Caenorhabditis elegans: one gene and its partner. The protein of the gene in region 1 interacts with the protein of each later gene in a pairwise test. Each region holds a gene or a part of one and is shown on either strand. Other genes may lie near its edges.

Region 1 (5,736 bases):
TGCAGCTCCAATACTTCCAGTTCCATCAATAATTCCCGTCACTGTGGAAAGAGCTTCCGCGTTTCCACGAAGTTGATCACATTTTCCGAGATCTGCCGTAATTGAGCTTGAGATCATGTTGGCCGGTCCTCCGATGAAAAATCCGGCGACGAGTAAGAGGAATGCATTCCAGTTGTAGGATTCGGGGGAATCTGAAACTCCTGATTGAAAGATTCGAACATTTTATTGAGGCCTTACGTGCATAAATATAAAGTGAAACAGTTGCCATTAACAGCATAATAAACACAACTGGGGTTCGAGATCTCATGTGATCCGAAAAGGCTCCGGCGAGCACAGCAGCCACGATTCCTCCAACATCATACCACGTGGAAAGTGAGTCGGCGTAGGATTCGGGCCAGTGCAAGCCAGCATGAAGGTAGTATGGCAACCAGAAGAAGAAACCGTAATTAACAAGCTTCAGACACGCATAAGCCAGTGAATACTGAAAATTAAAAGTTGAGTAACTTTTCGAAATCGGTGTATGACAACGTACTGCAATAACACCTGGAAGTAACCAAGCTTTCAAGAATCCAATTGGTGGTGGTCTTTCTGTAGGCTCATCATCAGTCTCTTCCTCTTCCATTTGTTCTGGTAGAATATCACTACTCACTTCCCATGGAGCTGATGGAAGTTGAAAGAATACAAGAAAACTGTAGATGAATAAAAGGGAGCATGCAATCAGGAATGAGTACTGAAATTTTGATCATGTTACACAATTACCATGTAACCAAATACCTGATATCCCAGAAAAAGAGTGTAACTAGCTATCAATGTTCCAATTATGTTTCCAACGCTTGCACACGATGACCAAGCTCCCATAACTGCTCCACGAGCATTATGTCCAAACCAATTGCCCATAATAGAGACTTCAACAGGCCACCCGACGGATTGAATAAACCCATTCAAAATCCATAAAAACGAGTAGACCATCGGAGAGTAGAAATGAAAAGTTTCAGTTAGATATCCAAAACAGAATACAATAATTGAAGAAAGCATCATTCCAGCTGTTAGAAGGCGACGAGGATTGTAGTTGTCTCCAAGTATTCCACATATGTACAGACCCTGAATATTGGAAATTGGGTATTTTGAATATTCTATTTCGGGAAATATTTGGAATTATGTGAAGTCACTATGAGATGCTAGGAAAAAAATACAAATGACGTCACACCTTTTCCCGCAATTTTTGGTAAGGAGCCTATTGAGTGTACAATTAACTGGGAATGATTTTTTCCTGTGACAAGTCAAATAAATCTATTTCGAAATTTCAAATTGTTATACTTACAATTGCATATGCAACCAAGAATCCTGTATCCAGAACACCTAAGAATTCAGCTGCAGCTTGTTGAGATGGAAATACTGGACCATCGGGTGTTGAAGTATTTGAGATCCATGTGTGAATAAGTGATGGTTTAACAGTAGACAATGTTTTCCGAGTGGCATGAAGCATTGCATAACTAAAAAAATAATTAATCTTATATTATTTACAATCAATCAAACCTCATAAAAGTATGTACAAATATAAAAACATGATGCTTGCTCCATTTTTGACCAGTTATTCTCGTCCAAAAACTGCTGGAGCTTACATCGTTCCTGAGTCTGATTCTCGGCATATGACCACCCTGAAATTGTTGAAATTGGAAGAAATATGATTGAATGGAAACTTGTTTAATTTTTGGAGGCGAAAATAGATATGGAGGTAGGAAATGAATTATTGTGATTCTATTGCTAAAAGAGATGCATGAAAAAATATGGAAATGATATTGCGAAGCTGACAAGTACAAAGTCATGTGAATATGGATATAAATACATAAACAAACAGAAATATTCCAGAAAGCTTGCGGCACAGAAAACATAAACAAAGTAGATGATGCATTAGTATTGATTTTCAGAAATTATAATGGTTGAATAATAAATCTTGTTTTCTTTTTATGAAAAGCAATTTTTAAAATTTATTTTATCACTTTTCATCAAACTGAATCAAAAAATCTCATAGAATACTAGAAGTTGTAGAAAAAGTGGGCGTAAAACTTTAAATTTTACCGTAACTAGCATTAAAGGCGCATATGGTTCACCGGTTGGGTCTCGAGGCGATTCCGTATTTTGAATGAGCGTTTTCTGAACTATTTAATTATCCAATTTTTAAGTGTCTTACGTTTCGAAATCGCGTTTCCTATTTATTTAAATTTAATTTAAAATTATTAATATTGCAAACACTTATTTCGTTATAATTAAAAAATTCCCATAATCAAATGTTCAAAGTCGTTAATGAGAGAAACAAAATTCAATTTTCGATATCAAATTTGATGAGACAGCCCACACGTGTTGATAAAATTGAAAATGACTATTCCTATTGACCCCCAGTCCTGTCTCGTGTAATTGCAAACGTGGACTACCGCACTCTCTCAATTCCCTCTGTTTTTTCTCTGTTAGACCTAATTTCGAAATCCGTTCCTCATCGTTTCCTTTTTGCATTTTTTTTAATCTTTGAACAATTTTGCAAATAAACTTGCAGGGTACACAATAATGTCATCTAAAATGACCGCCGAAAGAAAAGCAATTCTCATGCAAGAGGCTCAAGCTCTTGGAGACGAAATTCGACAGCTAAAACTCGACAAGGCCGATCAAGCAATTGTGAGTTTATCGATTTTTTGCTACATTGTTAATTTAAACGAAATTCAGTCAGAAACAAACAAATAATCGTTTAATTTCCAAAATTAGATAGACTTTTTACATGTATCGTTTTTTTTCGCATTTTTGAACAAATAAAGGATACCCGTTCATGTCTGATCTTCTATTTTAATGAAACGCGTTTGCAATCCGCATAGTTTTCTCACCAAATTCATAAAATTGTGACGAACTTTCACATCTTCAGTAAAATGTTTCGAACTATTACGAGTAGGCTGGCTTTCTCAGTTCGGCAGGCTGAAGAAACTGTAAAACCGCGGATTGCATATGCACAGAGAAGTGGACGACGAGTATTCTTGAATAACATGAAATTCCACCAATACATGCTTTTTCAGATCAAAGAGAAAGTCGCACTGATGCAAGCGAAAAGAAAGGAGGCAGGCGAGACCGGTGCACCCGAAAAACCCGGAAAGTTTGTTCTGAAAACAGGAAAGGGAACTCGTGACTACGGACCAGCTCAATCGGCTCTTCGCAATTCTGTGTTACAGACAGTCACTGAAACATTCAATAGATATGGTGCAGAGACCATTGATACACCAGTATTCGAGCTTCGTGATGTTCTGATGGGAAAATATGGCGAGGAAGGAGGAAAACTTGTATATGATCTTCAAGATCAAGGAGGAGAGCTTCTATCATTGCGTTATGATCTCACTGTTCCATTTGCACGATACTTGGCAATGAACAAAATCACGAATATTACAAGATATCAAATTGCGAAAGTATACAGAAGAGATCAACCTGTAATGTCTCGTGGACGGTACCGCGAGTTCTATCAATGCGATTTTGATATTGCCGGACAGTATGACCTTATGCTTCCGGAGGCTGAGTGTCTGGGAATTGTTGATGAGTTGCTCACGAAACTGGAAATTGGAGAGTTTTTCATTAATGTAAGGCATTTATTAACAATCATTTTAATTCGAATTGTGTTGTTTCAGCTCAATCACCGTCTGATCCTCGAAGGAATGTTTGCCGTTTCCGGTATTCCTGCTAAAGATTTCAAAACAATTTGCTCATCGGTCGATAAGCTTGACAAAACTCCATGGGAAGATGTTGAACAAGAAATGATTAATGAAAAGTTCCTAACTAAAGAGCAGACTGGAAAGCTGGGAGAACTTGTTCGATTCCGAGAGCTCAATAGCGATCTCAACAATTTGGAACTTCTTGAAAAAATGTCACAACTCCCAGATCTCGGGCAAAATGACAAGTTTAAAAAGGGAGCCGAAGAACTGAAGGTGTTAATTGAGTACCTCAATGTCGATGGAGTGACCACTGTTCGATACGAACCATCCCTTGCCAGAGGTCTTGATTATTATACAGGTGCAATCTATGAAGCAGTCGCTCCTAGTATGTTTTTAAATATTGAATCGACTATTCAAATTGTTTAATTTCAGAAGCTCTTGAAGGAACTGCTGTTGAAAACTCAGAGGATACTGCTGGACAACCAGTCGGAGTAGGATCAGTAGCTGCCGGTGGACGATACGATGGATTGGTTAAAATGTTCGACTCAAAAGCCAATGTTCCATGTTGCGGTGTTTCTTTTGGTATCGAACGTCTGTTTGCTATCATGGAAGCTCGACAGAAAGTTGCCATTCGTACGACGCAAACCGAAGTCTATGTTGCATCTGCTCAAAAGAATTTGGTCAGGGATCGCAAGAAGTTGGTAAAGATGCTTCGATCTGCTGGAATCAAGACTGAAATGGCACTGAAGGCTAATCCGAAATTGTTAACGCAATTCCAGTATGCTGAGGAAAGACGTATTCCGCTTGCTATTGTTATTGGAGAGCAGGAGCTTAAAGATGGAGTTGTCAAGTTGCGAAATGTGGTCACCAGAGACGAACAGGTAATTTTTCTAATATAATTTTTCCGATATCACAATTAAATATTTTCAGACTATTAAACTCGACCAGCTGATCACTGCCGTTCGTGACACTCTTGCCGCCCTCTAAACAATCGATAATTTCTTGTTTTCTTAGCTTTCTAATTCTCTGCGTTCACCTCACTTCAGCTTTTATGTCCCTCTTTCCAGTCATCATAATTCATATTTCCTGTTTTATTGATTTTTGCATAGTCGGTGTTTGACTTGTTTGTTTTTCTCCTTTTTTTGTTCCAGATTTCATATTTATTTTTGTTGGTTTGAAAATTCAGAACTTATCACATTTCCTTTTGGTTTAGAATTTTCTATTTTGATTGAAAGGTTTCTCAATCCTTACTCAAATTTCTTATTTGTGTTTTCACAGATTTAAAAGAACTCGTAGTTCATAATTTATTTCAGAATTTGCCATCATGTCGATGTCAAAGTCTTCTTACTCGCAATACAACCGGAAAAATTGGGAAGATTCAGATTTTCCAATTCTCTGTGAGACATGTCTCGGAAATAATCCATATATGAGAATGGTAAGTTTATTATTTAATTTAAAGTTTTAGACATTTTCGTTCTATAGTTTTTCCTTCTAATTCACATTTTTCAGATGAAGGACAAATATGGCAGAGAATGCAAAATCTGTGAGCGCCCATTCACCACCTTCAGATGGCAACCAGGAAAGGGAGCTCGTTACAAGAACACTGAACTTTGTCAAACATGTGCTAAAGTGAAGAATGTGTGCCAGACATGCATGTTCGATTTGGAATATGGATTGCCTGTCCAAGTGCGTGATCACGAACTTCAAATTGCTGATAATATCCCGAAACAAGGAGCAAATCGCGATTTCTTTTTGCAAAATGTGGAGAGGTACGTCTTTAATATTTTCTATGATGATGTTTTGCTACAAACATTAAGGAATAAGTTCGCATCCTAGGAAAAAACATCGAAAAAAATTGATTCTGTTTCAAAGAATATCAAAAAATTGGAAAAAGAGTGCAGAAAATTTACAAAAACTTTCTTAAATCAAAATTTATTTATGATATGTTGATGAGAAAAAACAGGAAAACATATAATTTTGTTTCTAAAAAGAGGAAAAATAGTCAAATTTCAAGCTATTTTTCGAAAAATCGAATTTTTTACCGAAATACCGG
Region 2 (8,803 bases), on another chromosome or scaffold:
CGTGAAATTGTTATATTTGAATGTCTTTGAAACTTCAGATTTTGATTGTTTTACCGGCAACGCCTTGAAAACTTTCACAGTAGAAAAATAAAGAAAATAAATTCCAACTCAAATTTTTAAACATTCTTGATTCAGGAAAAGGCCTGAAAAATTGAAATTTTTATTGGAAATATAGACGAACAAAACTAAATCATTATTCAAAAACTTGCGTGGCTATAAGACAGAAGTATCAAGTTTTCAAATGGTTCAAAAGTCCCTAGAAGTTTAAAACTCAAAATACTGATAAAAGAAGCGGCCCGCCGCCAAGTCGCATGATGCAGGAACAAAAGTAGTGATATAATGACTGTGGAGATTTAGGGAAAGTGCAAGAGAACTTGTGGAACGTGTAAAAAAGGCAAAATGTTACAGACAAAGTGTTACATAGTATTTCATTTAAAAAATCGAGCAAATGTTTGGGCGTGATCTAAATTGAAGTTTGACTGCGAATTTTCCCACCCCAAGCCAGGTGAAAAACGTTGTCCCTCCAACGGATCGATGGATCAAGTGCGGCTTTGATGAATACCAATGGAGCAAATAGCTCGCGGAGCAACCAAATCAACAGAAATTTCAAAGGGGAGAAGCTCATTTTCTTGTTCTGAAATGAAATACCGTTTTTTTTTATTGAGAAAACACTGAAACTACAAAAAATAATATATTTTAATCACAAAGGAACACATGTAAAGCGGGAATGGTCAAACGGCGGGCCGGATGCGGCTATCTGGCGCCCAACTAAACTTCAAAAACCGAGCCTCCGGTGGGGGCTATTTTCAGCCGACGACAGCCCGATGCGGTCCAATGGCGGTTGTTCGGCAGTGTTACGTGTTATTAGGTCGGCAAATAAGTTTTGAAGTATATCGTCAATTTATGTTTTTTTTCCAAAATTTTATTTTGAAGACTTATAGTAGGCAGTCAGTATATACAGTCAGTAGTATATATATATAGTCTATGAGTTTCAACTATTTCGGCCAGCTTTTTTGCTAATTTGTTCTGAAAAAATCGAAAAACTCTGGAGATTTTTTTTATTGATTTTTAACAATAGCTGTTATCGATGTGACGTTAATATCTAACGCAATCACGTTTTGTATGTTTAGAGCAAAAAAAAACGAATCTTAACCCAATTGAGCTATTCCAAAAAAAGTGGACCACAAAAAATGAGACATTTTCAGTTTTTGTTTATTCTAGAAAATTTTTATGAGAATTTATGTAAACTTACTACTTTCATTTAGTTTTTCAAAATCAAGTTATTTACTGTAGATTTCAAGTGTTTCCACCTTTTTCTCAAAGTCTGATATTTGGATTACCTCGAAAGTTTTTTTCAGAAAATTGTTTAACCCAAAAACATTGAAAGTTTTTAAACAGAACAGTTCTATTTAAAAAATCATTATATTTTTTATTGATTGATTTTCTTGAAATTGAAATTCACTTTGAACTGTTGTATGGCTTTCTTTGAAAAACTATAACCGTTTTTTTATTGGCTGAAAAAAAACCAAACAATTAAAAAATAAAGTAACTACAAAACGAAAATACACAAATAGAATAGTTTCAATGTTCTTGTTTTGTCAAATGGTTTGAGAAAAAAGTCAACCAAATACCAAATTTCAAGACAAAAAATTGGCTTTCAAATACTGTTTTTCGGCCGGCTCACGACCTATTTGTTTGGAACACAGTTTTTGTCATTGTTAGTTCTTAAAATACTCTCAGGCTAAGAACAGAGTAAAACAATAACAAAAACAAGCTCAACACAAAAGTAACTCATATGCCGTTTAGCGAAACAGCTGTCCGCGGTTTTTGAGCCGCCATTGGACTGTTCCCGCATTACCTGTGTATGTCACTTCTACCCTCAAATTGAACATTTGCAACCGCCCACGCATCTTATGGCTGTAGTTCAAAAATACACTTTTCCACACATATTGAAAAGTGTAACGGAAAAATCTCTATCTTGTCAACAAATGTATACTTTTACCGGTGAATCACATTCAACTGCAGTTGTGAATAATTTTTTCAATAAACATTTTCATACCTGCATTTTGCACATGACCATACAATCCATAGTAATCCAAAACACTACGTGAAGCATGATTGTTGTAAGCATATCAATATTAGCAATGTAGTTGAGACTGAAGGAAATTATGAGTGCAGAAGGGAAGCAATCCTGAAATTTGTTGAACTGTTATATTTTCACTTGAACACTTCTTTTCTCAAATTTGCGGCTGCAAGAACAATTAGGGTTAATATGTTCCGGGCCAAAATTCATAATTTTTTTCACCAGGTAGATTGTTCTCAAATTGTAGGAATCTATAGTATCATTTATGTGCTTTCATTTGACAGAAGCTTAAAAAAGGTGAAAATTTTAAAAGTTGTTTGTTGGTTGTTAAAAAATGTTCATATATGAATATATGATTTTGCATGCAGAAATAATGCAAAACAGTCATAGTAAGGATAGGAGTCATAGATAGGAGTCATAGTAATAGTAAGGAACTTTTTTTTGACATTCCGAAATTTGAATTTATTATAAATAAAAACAATTTAATATTTTTTTAACGATCAATAAAATGTTGTTTTTAAACTAGTCTGGTTTTTTTTAAGTTTTCAATAAATCCACATACTTCATTTTAAATTAAACAAAACCAATTTATTCAACTCAGCGGAAAAGAAGCGCGATCGGACAGATGCCTCAAAAAATGGCTCCGAGTTAAGGCCTTGATGGTATGAAAATTTTTTTAATCTATTGTCACATAAAATAGCGTAATGATAACAAAGATTCCTGGAGCTTATTCTCCACCTCCCCCAATATAATACTTTTTACTATGAAGACTCACTTGCAGCGGCTCCACAAAAATAATTTGAGGCATCATTGCCATTCTAAGCTTCACCCATCGACAGACTCTATCCGTGAATGACGTCATGGTTACCGCAGCAGAATTTTGTAGCGCTGGATGTGTAGAAATTCCTGATTTGTATCCTCGAGACGCCAGTTTCTTCCCGAAGAAGTAATCCTCGGCAAGATATCCACTGAACGCAGCAAAGCCGCCACATTCATCCAATGCTTCCTTTTTCATCATCGATGACATTCCGGTTGGGCAGTTGAATTGGAGGCAGTTTCCGGCTAGATAAATTCTGGCATGAGAGGTTCCGAAATATATCTAAAACTATTTAGTCTATATGTATCAATGTTAAAGAAGAAGTAGTCGATGTGGGGAGATTACTAACAAGTGTAGCCCATACTGAAATACTCAAGGCGATATTAAAACAGGCAAGTACGTTAACAACGATAAAAATTAGCGTAAGACGCTTCAAAATTTGGATTGGCGCGCAATTTTTTGACTTGCTAGAGTTTTTGTTTGTTTTGACCATTCAATACAACTCACTTGCTCAAAAACCGAAGCAAACCCTTTTCTGTCCTTGCAATACGGAGTTTGCGTCACTAACGCCATTGTCTCATGGCTCATCATTGTACTTGCCATATCCAAAACTGCGTCAGATTTCATAAATATTCCACTATCACTAATCATTATAAGTTGGTACTTGGCTATTCTATAAGCTGGCATCATGTTGTTGATTTTTGGGTTCAGGCCAATTTTTTCGCCACCTGGAATTATTTGTTGAAAATTTCGTTCTTTCGGATAGAACTAACCAAAAAACATAGTTGAATCAACTGAGGGATATTTCTTGACTAAGCTCTCCACTACCTTCACTGCTGGATCATCTGATCTGTCAAAGCAAAATAGAAGTTCAAATTTGTGATACTGCGTTGTAAAAAATGTTTCTAAATTTGTGTATAAATTAGCGTCGGCTCCTATAATTGGCTTGATAATTGAGACTCCGGGTAGTGAAGGGTTGGGTTTGGTTGGACGGTGGAGTCGATACTTTCTGGAACAGGTTCTTTTAGAAAAAAACAGCTAGTGTAAACAGTATTCGAAAATCCGAGCAAGAACTTGTGAAAAGAAAATGTTAGATGTTTAAAATAGTATTTATTTAAGATAACAATTCTATAACCCTGGAAAATTTGTTTAAAAAATTTAACAAAATTTAACTGTATATTTTATTGGGGATTGCATCGGTTTTTTGAAGCCGATATTTCGTGTTTCCATAGTTAAAAAAAAAACTTTTGACTCACAAAATCTTGTGAATATCGTTTCATATTTGTTGTCGTCCGACTTGCTTATAATTCGAAAAAAGCCAAAAGTGTATTTTGTTGTGATTTGGGCCTAACGCTTTCCCTGCGTCCCAACTTTGCAGATATATGACCGGTCAGGCTCACCCACTCGCCACCACTCATTATCCGCGAATACATTCACTCTCCGTTGTCCTTTTCCGTTTATTATCTATTAATAATACATCCCATTTGAATTACCGCCATTTGCGTATTTCCCGATGCAAGCGCGCTCCTCCGATAACTCCCGTTATTCCGAAGCGTCATAGCTCCGTAAATCCACACAATAATTCTAACCTACTTTTAGGCCAATCGTTCATTCTGTTCTACTTTCTCCAGACGAGTCAGCGGCTACCCATCCGCAGACACTGTGATTCAGGACCTTTCTGCACCATTTCCATTCTGTTAATCACTTTAATTCCTATTTATATCCACTGAATAAACTGGAATTCATCTGAAACTGTGTACTGTTATTCTCTCCGCACCGCTTATCACCAATGCCGCTCGAACCTTGCTCCGTGTCTCTCCGCGCGTATCTGTAATACGCTGTTTGTCACTCGGTAGGGTGACTGACTCCCCTCTACTGGTCCCGAGTGTCAACATATTTTTTGTGATGGTTTTTTTTTAAATAGTTTTTTGTAGCAACAATGAATTAGAAAATTACGATATGTAATTTCCCTCAACTTTTTAAAAATCTTATAATTTTTTCAATTTGAAACAATTTATTTTCTGAAAGTTAAAAAAAAAACTTATAAAAATGAAAAATGAGCTCATGTGAGGTTCAGTAGGAAACTATTTCCAAATCTTTTCATAGACTTTACAAAAAGCCTAATTATAAAAATTGCTGCAGAAAGTATATTTTCATAATTAGGCAGCTGCGAGATTCTATTTTGGTTACAGAATTCTATGAAAATTTTTTATTAACTTTTTAATGTCTGGCTCGATTTTCATTTTGAAGACTCAAAAAACTCACCCATAGCATAAACCAACAATGTGCAAAAAGTACAATGCACTCACAAAAACCACACCGAAAACCGCAAAACATGTGCAATAATCGATGTCCTCTAATATTTTCTTTGTTCCAGTTAATAAAAGAGGTATATATTGCGAGAAAAGTGGGTAATATAACGACGAGGCGTTCTGTTCTTGAAGAGATTCAGGTTGAACTTCTGAAATTTCCGGAATAATCTCAACCTCCAAACCGGTTATTTTATCGCCCATTACTGCAATATTGTGGATTTTTTAAAATGTCAAATACGAATTGAAAAAAAAACACAAAGAACTAAAAGAAATAAAACAATGTTTCAAAATTGAGATGTTTTTAAATTTAAAAAAGATCTCCAAAATTGGACAAAAATTTCTCATAAAATGGTTTAACATTTTTTGATGTTCAGATCCAAAAAATTAATGTGCCATAAGTGCATAGAAAAAGGTTTTCTATCGACTTCCAAATTTATACCTTTTTGACTGATCATATAAAATGTTCAAAAAAACATTTGCAAAAATATCTGGTGATTTGGGACTATTTGAAAAACTCAACAATTATTTTTAAAAACAATATATGAAAAATGCTGTATTCTCATTTTCATAGCAAAAATTGAACCTGGTCAGAAAAGTACACAAAAAAGTGAAAAGTGAGTTTGCCTAAAAATTGAAAGTTCTCAGTTTTTAGCGAGAAAATGTCTGACAATTTAACAAATTAACTTCCTGAAAATGAAAAAAAAAACGTGTTCACTTAAAAAAAGTGATAATTCTGCTTGTCATATGTAACTAATTCTTCAAATTTTAAATATTTTCTAAAAATCCTGTTGCAAAAAGTTAATATTTAGAAGAAACGAAAAAATGATTGGTATTCAAACCCAGAACATTAAAACTACACTGAAAAAATATGAAAATCAGTTTGTGCTAATTGTGTTATGCCAATCAGAACAAGCGCTGATAACCTCTTTTTCAAAGTTTTTTGTTGAGTCTAAAATGATAAAGCTGACAACATTGAAAAAAAAACTCAATTCAAACAACCAAATGAAATTGAATGTTTTGGCAGTTTTTAAACATATATTTGGTGTTTAAAACTTATGGAGAAATAAAATAAATGTGGGGTGGCGCCCATAGCAGAATTGTATAAAATAATTCCTACTGTACTAACATGGTCAATAAGCATGGAGGAATAATTTAAAAAATAAAAAAAAGTAATTCAGTTTCAATAAAAATGTTTTCGCCTATTTATTATTATTTTACAGGTTGATAAAAAATGCTAGCAATTTTAAACTTTATATAGTTTTGATCTTTGTATTTTTATTTTTATTGTAAAAGCTCAATTTTGCCATAACGCACAAATATTTTTGAAAATCCTACTTTTTTAAATGGCAAACTAACCGTTGTTTAGTGTGAAATCCGACTGAGGATACTTTGTCACCAATTACTAAACTGTAAACAACTAGAGATGCACAAATGTCGTTATAATCTGAAATTTGAATAGTTACTGAAACATTTAAATGAAACTTAATCATATAGAGCTTCCATAACTTAATAGTTAACTTGATGGCTTTAAAATCACTTCACCAAAAATTTGATTATCATTATTTAAATTTATTTACGAAATTTAACATAACTTTTTTCTCTTCTTAATCTCAAGTTGCAAACAAAAAAATCGTCAATCTAGGCCTAAGACAAAACATAGTTAGAAATATATTGAAAACTAAGTACCAAGACAAAAGACACAACTGTTAACTATAAATTCTCGGAGACGCACTTGCCATTTAGGCACTGATAAAACGCGTGAGCGCAATGTACTATAAACTAATATTGCATCTGTAACGCGTTTTACCCTTCTTTTCTACTTTGATAACAAAAACACGCAAGTGAAAACTGAAAAAATTCATCAAATAATTATGCTGACAATCATCAAATTTTGAATACGAGTAAATGACTGCATGGCATCGCGGAGTGATACAAAGGTGCTGATAAAACGTTGGAGCTTCGATTTAAATTGAAATTATAGCCGCTCTTTTTGCATGTTTCCAATTCTAAGTTGAAGCAAAGTCTGTGTGAAATTTTACAATTATAGAAATTAAATCGTAATAACCGAAACCATCTGTAAAATGTTTTTAAACTTTTTCCTACATTTTTTATTTTTAGGCTGTCATGAAAATCCTGTCCTAATTTTTTGTTTAATCATTGTGGGCTAGAGATCAATTTCGGTGCTTACTCCTAGTGATTGATAAACAGTGCAGTCTTTGCAGTAATGAACCTCCCATCCCTCTCTCTTTCTCTCGGTTCAAGTTATTTGCTAACATGGTAGTTTACATATATATTAAACTGCTGAAAAACATAACTACTATTGCCCCATATATGTTTTTATTTCAAATCACATATTGCAGACAATAGACATGGAGATGTCCACCGATTTTCCAATCTGTTGTAAGGAAACGTTACCCAAATGGCTGATAGCATGACTGAAATTCCGTCATTCATTTTTTGAATAATTCATGCATAAATTTTTTTTTCTGGTTTTTATGTCGCTTTTCTAAGTATCTTTTTTTGTATTTTGAGTTCATGAGATTTTCTAATCTAAAATTTTTATTATTGTCGTATGACATGATTCTTGTACAAAAATGTTGCCTACCCTTTACGTAAGCAAATGTTGCATTTGAAAACACCACTCTGAACCAAGTTGATTTATCACTGAGTGATTCATGTTTCCAATTGTTGTGAAACACTGAAACTTACTCCAATTTTTTTCACATAAATGTTAAAAGATGCGCATGTTAGCTTTTGTAAAATCATTTATTTTTATTCTAACAAGTATATTTCATATTAGAGGCGGAGAACCGAAGTCTAGGAACTATCTTCAAATGACTCCAAATTTGTGCATGACTTCGAATATCTATGTGAAAAAAATTTCCCTCATTTTATTTTTGATCTTGAAATTGCAAATTCCATTTGCGTCCCAATGACTTTTTTCAAAGTCGCACCCAAATAATTTCTCATTGGAGCGCACAAAAAAAGTCGAGAACGCAATTGCAATTTACGATTTCAAGCTCAAATATACAATCAGGGAAATTTTTTCCAATAATGGTGAATTTTGAAGGCATTATTTTCCTTGAGTAAGCCTTTTTTCTATGTTAACATTGTGTTAATTTTATATCGCTAATCCAGTGTTTCCTTCTCCAACTTTTAGCTGTTCCATCTTTTTTCATCATCCACCTGCTCATTAATTTTGCTACAATGCAGTTGCTCAATATTCAAAGTCGATATATCTGATGAACTATTTTATTAGGGTGAGCAATAAGTTTTTTCGTATTTTCTCAGTTTTCATCCTTTCTCAAATATTTTGTATGTGGTACATAGTGGCCTATTAGTAGTGCAAAATATATTGATGTCATATATTTCCGTCAACTTCCAGACTGATTGATCCTCAAAACTACGCTTTTTGTTTAAACTACGCTTTTTGTTTAAACGTGATTTTTGTAAAACATGCAATTCACGAAATTATCTTTAAAATAAATTTTCTCGAATTTTTTTGATTCAAAATTTAGAGAAATTGGTTTTTCGGTTTTTATGTTCCAAGGCACACACAAAAACCTCTCTGGCGCGGCTTAAATTTACTTT

Evidence for each region.
Region 2: the proteins of hars-1 (region 1) and cgt-2 interact in a two-hybrid assay, tested with the Caenorhabditis elegans proteins (one large-scale study listed by BioGRID).

What each region holds. Positions count from the first base shown.
Region 1 is NC_003282.8:10,856,406-10,862,141, forward strand, and holds hars-1 (Histidine--tRNA ligase), read left to right. Parts: upstream 1-2,551; 5' UTR 2,552-2,562; coding exon 2,563-2,670; intron 2,671-2,911; exon of another isoform or gene 2,912-2,915; coding exon of another isoform or gene 2,916-3,014; intron 3,015-3,059; coding exon 3,060-3,611; intron 3,612-3,659; coding exon 3,660-4,068; intron 4,069-4,115; coding exon 4,116-4,564; intron 4,565-4,613; coding exon 4,614-4,670; 3' UTR 4,671-4,879; downstream 4,880-5,736. Other genes in the region: T11G6.2 (Sugar phosphate exchanger 3), read right to left, coding at 1-191, 238-481, 533-730, 775-1,101, 1,322-1,493, 1,537-1,658, 2,080-2,091; rbm-22 (Pre-mRNA-splicing factor RBM22), read left to right, coding at 5,008-5,118, 5,193-5,452. UniProt on the Caenorhabditis elegans protein: Involved in protein synthesis. Catalyzes the specific attachment of an amino acid to its cognate tRNA in a 2 step reaction: the amino acid (AA) is first activated by ATP to form AA-AMP and then transferred to the acceptor end of the tRNA.
Region 2 is NC_003284.9:17,693,085-17,701,887, reverse strand, and holds cgt-2 (Ceramide glucosyltransferase 2), read right to left. Parts: upstream 6,657-8,803; 5' UTR 6,569-6,656; intron 5,416-6,568; 5' UTR 5,414-5,415; coding exon 5,166-5,413; intron 4,650-5,165; exon of another isoform or gene 4,542-4,649; intron 3,910-4,541; coding exon 3,674-3,909; intron 3,629-3,673; coding exon 3,408-3,628; intron 3,183-3,407; coding exon 2,859-3,182; intron 2,192-2,858; coding exon 2,060-2,191; intron 635-2,059; coding exon 464-634; 3' UTR 149-463; downstream 1-148.